3 linked regions of the Caenorhabditis elegans genome follow. The protein of the gene in region 1 interacts with the protein of each later gene in a pairwise test. Each region holds a gene or a part of one and is shown in the gene's direction. Other genes may lie near its edges.

Region 1 (4,979 bases):
TCACATTTTTTAAGATTCATCTTTGATGAGATATTTTTAGATTTATAATTATTCAAATTGATTCTAGAAATGTTTCTTTTTAAAAATTCACCTGCTTAAACATCAATGTTCTATTTGTCTCCGAGCACGTAATTCTAGTCTGACGCAAGTCTTTCACTTGAGCCCATCCTGGACTTCTGCTCTCCACTGACAATCGTTGAAGCTGAAAAATTTCATTAATTAAAACATTTTCCGGCTGAGCAAACACAAACCATAAATGAGCCTCCGAATACGTCGGAATCAAAGTTAATTTCTACAGAACTTATATACAAAGACATGTTTTCGATGATTTTGTTCATGAAGCCGTATGAACTGCTGTCACCGAGATTTCTGCAAAAACGTGAAGGGTTTAATTTCGAAAATGGTAGAACTATGCTTACCCAAGTGGATTTGATTTTGCCTGTTTTTTATGCTCATTGGTAAGCTCCACATCCACATTGATTTCATCAATGAACTGAAATTATTTTTACGATTATAAAAGCATGAATTTGAATGAAAAAGGAGTTTATGTGAGACTATGACACTTTTCAAAATATTTATAACTTTTTTTTTACAAAATAGAAAACGTTATCAAAAATGCAACATTTGGCAGATTTAATTTGTCTGATATAATTATTCAAAATACGAGAATAAATTTGTCTACTTCAATTTCTAATTCAAAAAAAAGAAAACAACCTACAATCTGAATTGGGCAAGTTTTCAATTTGGTCCATGGTACATTCACAGCTACACCTGTACAGAATGCTCGTTTGATTTTCAACCACGAAGGAAGCTCCTGAAATTTTGAGTTTATGCAAGGAAAGCATGTACATTTAAAACTCACCAAAATCTCTGTCAAAACATCTTCGTTAATTTCAATAAACTGAAGTTTACTATTTCCTTTTAACACGTCTAAGGATATCTGCTCGGGCTTCAAGTTTTTTGTGAATCTGAAAAAAAGTGAATTTTTTGAGGGTGCAAACTTGATTAAATTCCATAGTAAAACTTTTCAAAAAAAATTTGAAATTTTATACTTATTGTCACAAGTAGCAATTACCAAGATATTTTTGGTTTTTTTAAGCGATTTGGAGCATATTTTGGCAAAATTCCCAGTGGCGTTACAAAAATTTTAACATCCATTTTATCAACTAAACAAGGAGGGTATTATTTGAGAAAAAATATGTTTGACGTTGTCATCGATTTTTAATATTTTTCAATACACTCAAAAATTAACTTACTTGGATAAATGTTTGACTAGCTGGTTTTTGATTATTGACGTCATCTTCGGTGTACAATTCTGCAAAAAAAATCGATTTTCAGGTGCGAACTACAAAAAACTACATAAATACACAGAAAATCATCAATAGAACATATTGAATCAAAAACAATGTGCTCATTATTTATGCGAAAATGCATTAATTGTCCAAATTGCGACTATCGGTTTTTGCCAATGGAGCGCGTTTGGCACACGCGGCGGTGTATGCTTGGGAGGGTGCGTGCGCGCGTCGGCATGCCAATTCTCTCAACGTGTTTGTGCTTGGCTAGCCATTGCTGCTTTTTGATAAGAATAGAAACGCGTTTTGGCGTGAGAAAAAAGACCGGATATAGATTTTGAAGATTAGAATTAGAATTTTTCCCTTTTTTTAAATTGTATTTCAATATAAAAATATAATTTGATTAGAATTTTTTGTTGTTGCTCATTGAACGTTTATATAATAAAAAAGAAAGTAGAAGTAGTCAATCAACAAATTTGTTTATCGTTTGTATTAATCGTTTTCTCTGTCATTATTTCTCTAACTCATCGTGAATTTGATTGTAGATAAGCAGGAGAGCAGTCGCAGAGCACAGGCAAAATGGGGGACGACGGGTTCCTCGATCAATACCCTGCCAACACCGATGCGGGCATTGGCACTGTGCACAGCTGCCGCTACTCAAAACAAAAAAATCCGGTGCAGAACAACGATTTTTTATCGTGCTCCATGTGCATACAGTGAGTTTATTCTACTTTTTTTGTTGCAAAATGAAACATAAACCGATCTTAATTAGGAAAAAAGTCAAATTTTACAGCAATTCAGTGGAAAATAAACTGAACGATTACGTGGGAAAATGCAATTTTTACACTTTCCTTGTCTAGTAACACAATGAACAAAAAATGAAAAGAGAAAGTTTTGGAACGATACATTGAAGGTGTTAAATACAATTTGTTTGCAAGGAAGTAAATGTCACAAGTACATCAATTAAAAAATAAAACTATATTTATCGTAATTTTTTGTTAAAACATGAAAGATCATGTAGACACAGATTAGTAGATTACATTAATAGTAAAAGTTAACAAATTTTCATTTTTCAGCAATGGACCCATCAAACTCTACGGTATTTTTTCCGGATTTAATGGTGGCGATTCAACAGCGAAGTTTGTCATGAACAGATTGGTATATGAGATTTTTGGAGAAAATCCAATTACACCAACACTACTCCCTTATCAAGTGATTTAACAATCAAATTTTCAACTCTACAACTACATTTTCAGGTGGTGGAAGAATTTAAACGGAAATTTGAAAACGTTGCCGAGCGTTATTTGTTGATGAACACCGATGATTTGAACAATCGACTGTTAAAGTTGGAGGAACAGTCGGAAACTGGAAATAATGCAGTATCGGAAATCAATCAAAAAGTTAGACTAAATTTTGAAATTATTATAATCTCCCAAATTTTCAGATTCGCCAAGGTACCACTGCCATAGTAGTCATGATCATTAACCAGGACCTATATGTGCTAAATTGCGGAAACTCTCTGTAAGATTTTTGAAACTGTTTGTTAGGAATTTTTGAAAAAAAAAAACTTTCAGCGCAATTGCTATGAACAGTGAGAACGTAGTGCAGCTCAACTCAAATCTACACAATAATGACAATCCTTTGGAGATTGTACGAATAAAAGGGCTAGGGATTAATCCGGAGGTAATTAATTTTTTTTGTAATAATTTTACAAAATAAGTTTACAGACAGTTCTGAATCCAACTAGAGCGATCGGTGACTTACAACGAACCCACCTGTTTGAAGAGACGGAAGCTTTCAAGAATGCAAAAGGACCACCGGTTATTTCTACTCCAGATGTTCAGTATACAAAGGTTTGCTATGATGAAATGTTGTTCTGGAACATTTTACGAAAAACAAGATAAAAGATCAAATTCAATGAAAATATTAGTCACAACACCTCAGATTTGATTACAAAATGAGAACATGTTTTCTTTTCTTTTTTTAAATGCTTATTTTCCAACCAACAGGTAACTTCTACTTTTAGATCGACCCATCCTGGAGACATTTGGTTCTGATCTCCGACGGTGTAGTTCAGAATCTTAAGGAAGTTGAAGTTGAAAACATCCCAACGTAAGTAGCAAACTTATGGAACTTTTTCGTCAATAACCAAGTCACACGTTTATAAAAATAAAAAATAAAATTTTCATCGATTCCCCAGTTTTCAGAGAAGTATCCGTTCGACTAATTGAAGATCACACAGTTACAAGTACAGCGCAGGCATTGGTAGACTCGTTTGCAAGAAAGCATCGCGATGCTTACACGGTTTGTTGGATTTACCCTTTTTTAGATAAGCAAATTTGAATACAATTTACAAAATTTTACCTATTTCTTCTCAATTCAATTAAATTTGTTCAAACATTGGGCGGATGTATTTTGCTATTCCACATTGCCATATTATTTTTATTTTATTTTCAGATGAGCGACGATAAAAATTTCTGTATCAGTAATCACAGAGAGGAAATGACTGTGATTTATGTGAAGCTCGAGGAAGATTACCAAGCGGCTCTTTACGAACAATTCGATTCAGCGATTTCGACAATGGAATCTACAAATGCAACATTGTATGAGCCCTGCTCGACACCATATGTCGATGCTACCAACTTCAATTCTGGAAAAAATTATGAAAAGATGAAGAAACTACTTCTAACTCGACCTTCAAAATAAATATTGTTGCTAGTAAATATAAATATTTGTTATCATGTATTATGTGTTATTTTTGCGGGGAGTATGATTATGATGCTTTCATTACAAATGTAACGTTATATGTGCCTATGTGGTGCCATGTGCCAGGATGTCCCATCACGGATTGATCTAGAAAAATAGCGGGATTTTTTCGCCCAAAAAAAATGCGACGTCAGCGCGTTCTTAACCATACGAAATCAGTGGAGAACTCTGCGTCCCCTTCTCCCGCATTTTTTGTATTATTGATCTACGTAGATCAAACCAAAATGAGTAACTCTGACACCACTTGTGTGCCCTGTTCGACACCTTACGTGGAAGCTACCAATCTCAACTCTGGGAACAATTTTGAAAAGATCAAGAAACATTTTTCAAGTCGACCGTCAAAATAATTTCTATTGTTGCTACTACATAGATCTAAACTTTTCTTTTCCTATTTCTTTGTTTTATTTTGAAAAAAAAATCTCTGACGAGAGATGCGGGGGAGGAGTTGCTTGAGCTGGTGTGAGATCAAATTTCTTGAATTTCACATCAACGCTTTTGTCCTGATTTTGAGACTAGATTTTTCCGTATTGGTCTTTTTCTGCATTTCAAAAAACAAGACGCAAATTCTGTTACATAATTTACCTTTTTCAACAATCGGTCGTTATCGTGAATTTGAAATGATCTGAAACGCTTATTTAGAGGCACACAGATTTGTAGGTTTTGTTGCAAGGAAAGCTTATGTCATCGCTTTTTGATCTTGACAAATGTCGTTTTTATCAGTTTAGTTTTTCAGAGAAAAAAGTTAGGATTTACACATATAACTGGGAGCCAAAAAAATTTTTTTTTTTAATCCCGCATACCTAAAATAGTCCCAAATGTTCGGAAAACATAATAAAAACATTGAAAAATTTGGATTTTTGGAGGTTTTCACTCAAAAATTCGGTGACAACTTTTGAAATGTTCGTCGAAAAGATTGGTTGC
Region 2 (3,990 bases), on another chromosome or scaffold:
GCCCTTTTTCGCATTGTCCGAGCTCCTAAAACAATTTTAGAAACACGAATTTTCGTATAAATCTGAATTTTTCACTCAAAAAACTAGATTTTTCAGATAAAATTCAATTTTCAAAGCTTCTAGAACTTCAGGAACAAAAATTTCCGAAAGAATCAAGATTTTTCATTTCAAAAATGCATTTTCGCAATTCTATCGTCTTTTAGACCTAAATTTTTGGCCAAAAACACACTGAAACATCAGTTTTCAGCTAAAAATTCAAAAATTAAGCCCGAATCTCGAAATTTTTTTAATCAAAGTGTTAATTTTTCAGCTCTCAGCTCTAAAAATTCGTTTTCCACGAAAAAAAACTGGATTTTCCCCATGAAACGTTAATTTTTCAGCTTTTCACGACGTTCGAGCTTCAAAAATTGAAACAAAATATTATTTCCAGGACTTTCATGCTTTTCGATTTTCAAAAATCGAATTTTTGTTTAGAATTACGGAATTTCTCATCATCGAAAACGACAATTTTCAGCTCCTCAAGCCTCAAAAATTGAAAATTTCGAAGCATTTTGTTTCTTTCGGGCCTTAAAAGTTCAAATTTTATCTAAAAATCGTAAAAATTGGATTTTAACGTTAAAAATCGGATTTCGAGGTAAAAATCAATGTTTTTCAGTTCCAAAATTGGAAATTTTCATCAGAAACGTCTATTTTCAGCTTTTTGGAGCTTCAAATTTCAATTTTTTGGAAGATTTTCTAATTTTTTATTCCAAAAAGTTGGATTTGCCACTTTTCCGCCACTTTTCCTGCAGTTTCCCTCGAAATTCTCACAGAAAAATTAAGAGTTTTCAAATGCTTTTAGCCCTTAAAAAACTTAATTTATCCACTAAAAACTCAGTTTTTTCACTAACAATCTCAAAAATTCACTGAAAATCTCAAATTTTTACTAGAAATGTCAAATTTTCACTAGGAATCTCGAATTTTCGCCAAAACACTGCAAATTTACACAAACAATCTCAAAATTTCAATAAAAATCTCAAATTTTCGCCAAAAATCTCAAATTTTAATTAATTTTCGAGTTTTCTAATGCTTTTAGCCCTTCAAAAACTGCTTTTCTCCACTAAAAATCCGTATTATTCACTCAAAACATCAATTTTCCAGCTTCTCACGTTGTATCGTCTTAAAATTCTTCTCTCTAAGCCTATTCGTAACTCGCTGGAGCACCCGACGTGATCTTCTCATCTCGACGACCTTGTCCAGCTCCCACTGCTTGCATTTATTAATTCCAAGCTGCAAAATTCGATGAAAAATCGATAAAATTCCCCATTTTTCCGTACCAACATGGCTGCAACGAGCCCAACACAGAAAATTATCGTCGGGAGCACAATTGACGTCATCACCTCGCTCGCCGGAATTGTGAATTGTTGTGGAGATGACATTTTAGTGGAAAATATTAGCTAAAAATTGAGAAAACTAGTGGAAAAGGGAAAAAGCTGGCGTGAATTAGTGCATTTTTGCACCCAGATGTTAGTGGTTTAGTGTAGAGAAAGGAGCAGAAGCCGTGAGCCCAGAAGAGACGGCGACAGCTCATCGATTTTTCATTTTCTCTGGCTCTTCTCTCTTTTTCTACGTATTTCTCCGGTTTTTTAACGATTTTATCAGATTTTCAACCTCAATAATGTTCTGAATAACTTTAAAATCAATTTTTTCTCCAAATTTCAACTTTCTTCCTTCAAAATTCGTAAATTCTTCTCATTTTTCAGATTTAATATTAATTTCCCTCTTCTCCTTGTGTCGATTTACGAGAAATGTTAAAGGCGCACGCTATTTATCGGGCTGTCGTGGCGAGACCCACCCTCTCCGCCGCAGCTGCTTGGCTCTCGTTTTCTTCTATTTTTTCGGCTGGCCTAAACTTTTTTCGCCAATTTTGAAGATTTTCAGTAATTTTTTTTTGTTTTTATGTTCAAATAATTATAGAAATTCAATTTTAATGCTTGTTTTGATCATTCGTCGTCTCTTTCTCTCTCAAAATCTCGATTTTTTCGGCTTTTTATCTGAAAAATATTATTTTCCGTCTAAATACGAATTTTTAATTCTCAGTTCCGATAGTTTGTCATCTCTTTCGCTGTTTTACTTTTATTTTCGTCTATTTTTGTAGTGTTTACCTCTTTTCCGCAGATTTCAGTCATAATTATTGAATTTTTTCAGGGTAACATGGGACGTCGTATCCGCATCCAGCGTAAAGGAGCTGGTGGAATCTTCAAGAGCCACAACAAGCACCGCAAAGGAGCGTCCAAGCTCCGTCCTCTTGACTATGCCGAGAGACATGGCTACATCAAGGGACTCGTGAAGGACATCATCCACGACCCAGGAAGAGGAGCTCCACTTGCCATCATCGCTTTCCGCGACCCATACAAGTACAAGACCGTGAAGACTACCGTCGTCGCCGCCGAAGGAATGCACACTGGACAATTCATCCATTGTGGAGCTAAGGGTTAGTTTTTCCTTCAGTTTGAAGCATCCGGCTTGTCCTTTTTAATCTGGCCTGAATTATTTTGATTCTACGCCCTTCAGGAAGGACCATAGGAAATTTTGCCTCTTACCCCCGGTGTGATAGTTTGTCAGAATCGGTCATTGTGTGCACGAACACTTTACTTTCGAAATTTTAGAACTAAACATTTCATTTTTAGTTACTAAATTCTAATTATTATTTTTTTCAGCTCAAATCCAAATCGGAAACATCGTGCCAGTCGGAACCCTCCCAGAAGGAACCACCATCTGCAACGTCGAGAACAAGTCCGGAGACCGTGGAGTCATCGCCCGTGCCTCTGGTAAGTTTTGCACAAATACCAATATAATCTTCATTAATCAATTAATTAATTTTCAGGTAACTACGCCACCGTCATCGCCCACAACCCAGACACCAAGAAGACACGTATTCGCCTCCCATCCGGAGCCAAGAAGGTCGTTCAATCGGTCAACCGCGCCATGATTGGACTCGTCGCTGGAGGAGGACGTACCGACAAGCCACTTCTCAAGGCTGGACGCTCATACCACAAGTACAAGGCAAAGAGAAACAGCTGGCCACGTGTCAGAGGAGTTGCCATGAATCCAGTCGAACATCCCCACGGAGGAGGTAACCATCAACATATTGGACATCCATCCACCGTCAGAAGAGACGCCAGTGCCGGAAAGAAGGTTGGACTTATCGCCGCCCGCCGTACCGGAAGAATTCGCGGAGGAAAGCCAGTCAAGTTCACCAAGGAGGAGAACGTCTAAATGTATTGTTATTTGTTATTCAACAAAATACATTTTTGTTATTAAAAAACCGCTTGTCTTTCTTTCATCAAAAAATTGAGAGCTCGATAATTTTGGAACCAAAAAAATTTAGGAAAAAAACATTAGGGAGTAAAGGCTCAGAACACGCCAGGAAGAAACCGGTATTTAACTTTCGAACAATACTGCGCCCAGTACTGCCCGTACTTGATCAGGCATCGATTCTCATCGGTGAATGCTCGTGCAACAAGGAACAGGATAACGAATAAGGATGGGATGTGAGCAATGGTGGATGGGAAGCCTTGAAATGCAGAGAAAGCGGCGAATGTGATGGCTTCGGAGGCATAATTTGGATGCCTGCATACTCCCCAATGACCACTGCCTGGAATTTTAGTGGTTTTTTTGAAGACAAATCAAGCTTTCAGCGAAAAGCTTACCTAGTAAAAGATTAGTATTAGCATCTCCGGAGTCAGTTCGATACTTTGCACTAATAAAAAAAGCATCAACTCCGCCAACTTTCAGCGTTCCTTTAGATTTCCGGAATTCATATTTCTGCCGATCGCATTTCGCAGTGAAAACCATCGAGCCAATCGCCACAGCACAGAATAAGCAGTTGGAGATCACACCGACGGATCGATTAGTCGCCACGAGAATCGTCACTGGTGATGTATAGATAATGGGTCCCAGCACGAAATCCGCCCAAATTCGATAGAAGCCGAAATCGCATCGCTTCGA
Region 3 (3,392 bases), on another chromosome or scaffold:
TGTTTTTCGTGTCGTGGAAATATAACAAGAAAAAGTTCATCGATCAACGAGATCGTAGAATGAATTACTAAAACCATAGAGGAGCCATCCACAAAGGAGTGAAGATGAAAATTGAGAAAAACTTTTTTGAAAATTTAATTTCAACAATTAAAATAAATTATACAATTCACAATTTGGTATAATGTAAAAACGTTCAAAACTTCTCGAATTGTGATGTGCGTATCGTATTCTAGTTGAAGACACATTATTTTTCTCCGAGTTGATCTCGCCACGAAAGTTTCTCAAAAAAAAATCTTATACGCGAAGCTCATAATGCCAAACAATCTGAACTGCCCAAAGAATGGTAAGATTTGCAATGAAACTTTTTTCACCTAGTTAGATGTTTTGACCAACTCACGTCATAACAATTAGCTACAGTATCCTGGCTCGAAATGTTGTGAGCTCGTAATATCCGGCTTTTTTTTCTCACCTTTAGTACTTCAATGTGTTTTCCATAATGACTTAACCTCCAGATGTGTTGGTCATTTAGTATATTTCCTTTTGTCATTGCACAAACGAATCGTATAAATCAAATTTTATAATTTTACACAGAAATTGATAAGTTAGTTTATATTTTAATTTTGCTACACTTTCCAAGCAATATAGTTTTTCTATTGATACCTCGACAAAAGAAATTGAAGAATTTGTTAATACTATGAGAAAAATGTATTATTCTCATGAAACTGTTGAGAACCTACATTTCCTATATTATACATTCCAAATTCTATTTTCTCTTATTTCTCTGCTTCACTATGAAGCTCAACCTGTTTTTTGTTATTTGTATCTTTACTGTCTCAAAAACTACTGCTCAATTCGAGAATATAAAACCTTGTGTGATTTGCGATGATCATTGGTTTATTGTCCCAACCAGTTGGTTAAATATGTCTAAGTATTTGGTAAGAAGAACTCTTTGAAACTGCATTCTGTGTAAATAACCTCTACAAATTTTCAGCGAGGAGGTTGCAATCGTCTCCCGAAAGCTTTAATTTGGCCGTGTCGAGACCTCGTTGACTCAATGAATCTTTGGGATCAATACTCGACTCTTTATCCACATATTGTTGAGTTTCACAAGCAGGCATGCAAAATGTTATGCTGAGAAAAATTTTGAAAATTAATATAAATTTTATGATGATTGATTTTACACATATTCGTTCCATGTCAAGCACCGTCTCGAAATCAGGGAATATTACCCAGTTGCGAGAGAATACGATGTCCGGTCTCGCCACGAATGAAAAAAATCGGTCCACTTAGAGAAGTACAGTAACCAATATTTTAAAAACCTTCTCAGAGCTTCCACGGCCTTCTGGTGCCATATCCTTCTATTAACTATTGAAATGGTGTTTTAATTTGCAACTTTATTGTAAAAACTAACGATTGTTACAGCCAAATTAATAAAAATGAATTCGATCCAAGCTATAAATCTCTCTTCTTTGAAAAAAATCGAGCCGAATAAAACGAAACTATGAAATGAGTGTTGTCTGCGAACAGAGAATGATATTTTAGATATTTCCCCCCAAACTTCGAATTAAAAGATTTTGCCATATTTTGAGCAAGTGATCAAAATCAGAAGATCAAAAAATAAGAGCAAAATTCAAAAATGCATTTATTTTTGACCTGACAAGGAAGATAATTTTAAAAAAGTATTAAATATTTAAGGCAATTTTAGTTATTTTTAAAAGTAATATTTTCACATAAGGTATTTTTTCAATTGTTTGTAAAGCATTTTGAAAGAAAACCGCATTTGATATACCACGAAAAGAATGGCCGGGTCCCGACACGAGCGACACACACAGAACACCACTGCTACCGTAACCCTCTTCAATCTTAATCGCGCATTTTGTTATTATTTTTGTTTTGGGGATTGTTTTTCTATTGAAATTTAGTAATTTTTAAAGTTTTTTTCAAATTAATTTTATTTTAAAAATTGTGATCTTCCAATGCTGTCAATTTTGTGCGTTAACACTTGAAAAGGATCCTCTTCCGTTGAATTTATCATAATTTTTCTTCATAATTTCACATCTGACAATTTATCAATGTTGTTTCTTTCTTTTAATGTTAAATATTTCCAGAACTATGGCTCGTACCAAGCAAACCGCTCGCAAATCGACTGGAGGAAAAGCTCCCAGAAAAGCTCTGGCGACGAAGGCGGCTCGCAAGTCGGCCATTGTCACCGGAAGTGTCAAAAAAGTGCATCGTTTTCGTCCGGGAACAGTCGCTCTTCGTGAGATCAGACGCTATCAAAAGTCTACAGAGCTTCTGCTTCGCAAGCTACCATTCCAGCGTCTTGTCCGTGAAATCGCGCAAGACTTCAAAACCGATCTCCGTTTCCAGTCAGCTGCTATCGGAGCTCTTCAGGTAACGATTTTGAAATCCAAAACGTAGTTTAAAAAATAATTTTCCAGGAAGCTTCCGAAGCTTACCTCGTTGGACTCTTCGAAGACACCAACCTGTGCGCCATCCACGCCAAAAGAGTCACTATCATGCCAAAGGATATGCAACTCGCCAGACGCATCCGTGGAGAGCGCAGCTAGATCCCTGTTTTATTACTGCCCGAATAATTATTTTATCTTTACCGCTTTGTATTAATATTATGCCTCTTGATGAAATTCCGCAACGTCCTTCTCATCACACCTGCACATTTCTCATCCCTGTTTTCTATCGATTTAATGTATCGAATAAACCCTGCGTTCCTTTTTTGTTGCAAAATTTATTGTATTGCAATATATTGGTTACTAGTTCGCCAACGGATTCTTTTTAAGAGTGTATCACGAGTGGAGGCGCAGGCAGACACGATAAGTGCGTCAGTAGTGGTTCATTCCAATTTAAAAAAGAGTGGATTTACGTTAGAAGAGTCATATTAATTTTCCGGTGATAATTCAATTTTCTTTCTATTTAAAAATTCATTTTCAGAGTCTGACATGACATCGCTCGTGGCTTACGGATCTGACAGCGAAGGAGAAGACGATGATTTCTTTGGAAAACCGACAACAGAAAAAGAAGAAACGACGAAAAACGCGGAGAAAGAAAAAGAAGAAGAGGTTAGTTCTATCTATTAAAAATTCCGCGATCAATTCTCATTTTCAGAGCGAAAAAATAGCGGAATCTGATGAAAAGCCAACAATCTCTTCATTTTTCTTCAGTGGTGACGATGATAAAGCAGGATCAAGTGATTCGGATGATTCTGAAGGCGAATCAGTAGGACCTAAAAAGAAACGACGATCTGGAGAATCAGTTACAGAATTGGACAAAGAATTTGTAATTTTTTTCTGCGAAACTAAATTTTATTTGAGTAATTTCAGACAAGTTCAATATTCGACAACGATTATGCCAGGGAAGAACGAATGAATGCCCGA

The links. Proteins that work in one complex are often made in the same cells at the same time.
Region 2: the proteins of tap-1 (region 1) and rpl-8 interact in a two-hybrid assay, tested with the Caenorhabditis elegans proteins (one large-scale study listed by BioGRID).
Region 3: the proteins of tap-1 (region 1) and his-74 interact in a two-hybrid assay, tested with the Caenorhabditis elegans proteins (one large-scale study listed by BioGRID).

Annotation. Positions count from the first base shown.
Region 1 is NC_003284.9:14,587,787-14,592,765, forward strand, and holds tap-1 (TGF-beta-activated kinase 1 and MAP3K7-binding protein 1), read left to right. Parts: upstream 1-1,837; 5' UTR 1,838-1,871; coding exon 1,872-2,008; intron 2,009-2,368; coding exon 2,369-2,504; intron 2,505-2,548; coding exon 2,549-2,692; intron 2,693-2,736; coding exon 2,737-2,813; intron 2,814-2,866; coding exon 2,867-2,975; intron 2,976-3,019; coding exon 3,020-3,145; intron 3,146-3,318; coding exon 3,319-3,404; intron 3,405-3,499; coding exon 3,500-3,596; intron 3,597-3,749; coding exon 3,750-3,998; 3' UTR 3,999-4,035; downstream 4,036-4,979. Other genes in the region: bltp-3B (Chorein N-terminal domain-containing protein), read right to left, coding at 92-202, 252-369, 420-493, 719-814, 863-968, 1,257-1,300. UniProt on the Caenorhabditis elegans protein: Involved in the Wnt signaling pathway by regulating mom-4 kinase activity.
Region 2 is NC_003283.11:20,477,502-20,481,491, forward strand, and holds rpl-8 (Large ribosomal subunit protein uL2), read left to right. Parts: upstream 1-2,187; 5' UTR 2,188-2,193; coding exon 2,194-2,473; intron 2,474-2,507; exon of another isoform or gene 2,508-2,632; intron 2,633-2,699; coding exon 2,700-2,810; intron 2,811-2,866; coding exon 2,867-3,258; 3' UTR 3,259-3,333; downstream 3,334-3,990. Other genes in the region: calf-1 (CAlcium channel Localization Factor), read right to left, coding at 1-25, 1,149-1,269, 1,317-1,418; dhcr-7 (7-dehydrocholesterol reductase), read right to left, coding at 3,396-3,637, 3,693-3,990.
Region 3 is NC_003283.11:12,659,047-12,662,438, reverse strand, and holds his-74 (Histone H3.3-like type 2), read left to right. Parts: upstream 1-2,108; 5' UTR 2,109-2,112; coding exon 2,113-2,394; intron 2,395-2,441; coding exon 2,442-2,570; 3' UTR 2,571-2,735; downstream 2,736-3,392. Other genes in the region: W05B10.3 (Saposin B-type domain-containing protein), read left to right, coding at 792-935, 992-1,135; ccch-3 (C3H1-type domain-containing protein), read left to right, coding at 2,958-3,077, 3,124-3,294, 3,339-3,392. UniProt on the Caenorhabditis elegans protein: Putative variant histone H3 which may replace conventional H3 in a subset of nucleosomes. Nucleosomes wrap and compact DNA into chromatin, limiting DNA accessibility to the cellular machineries which require DNA as a template.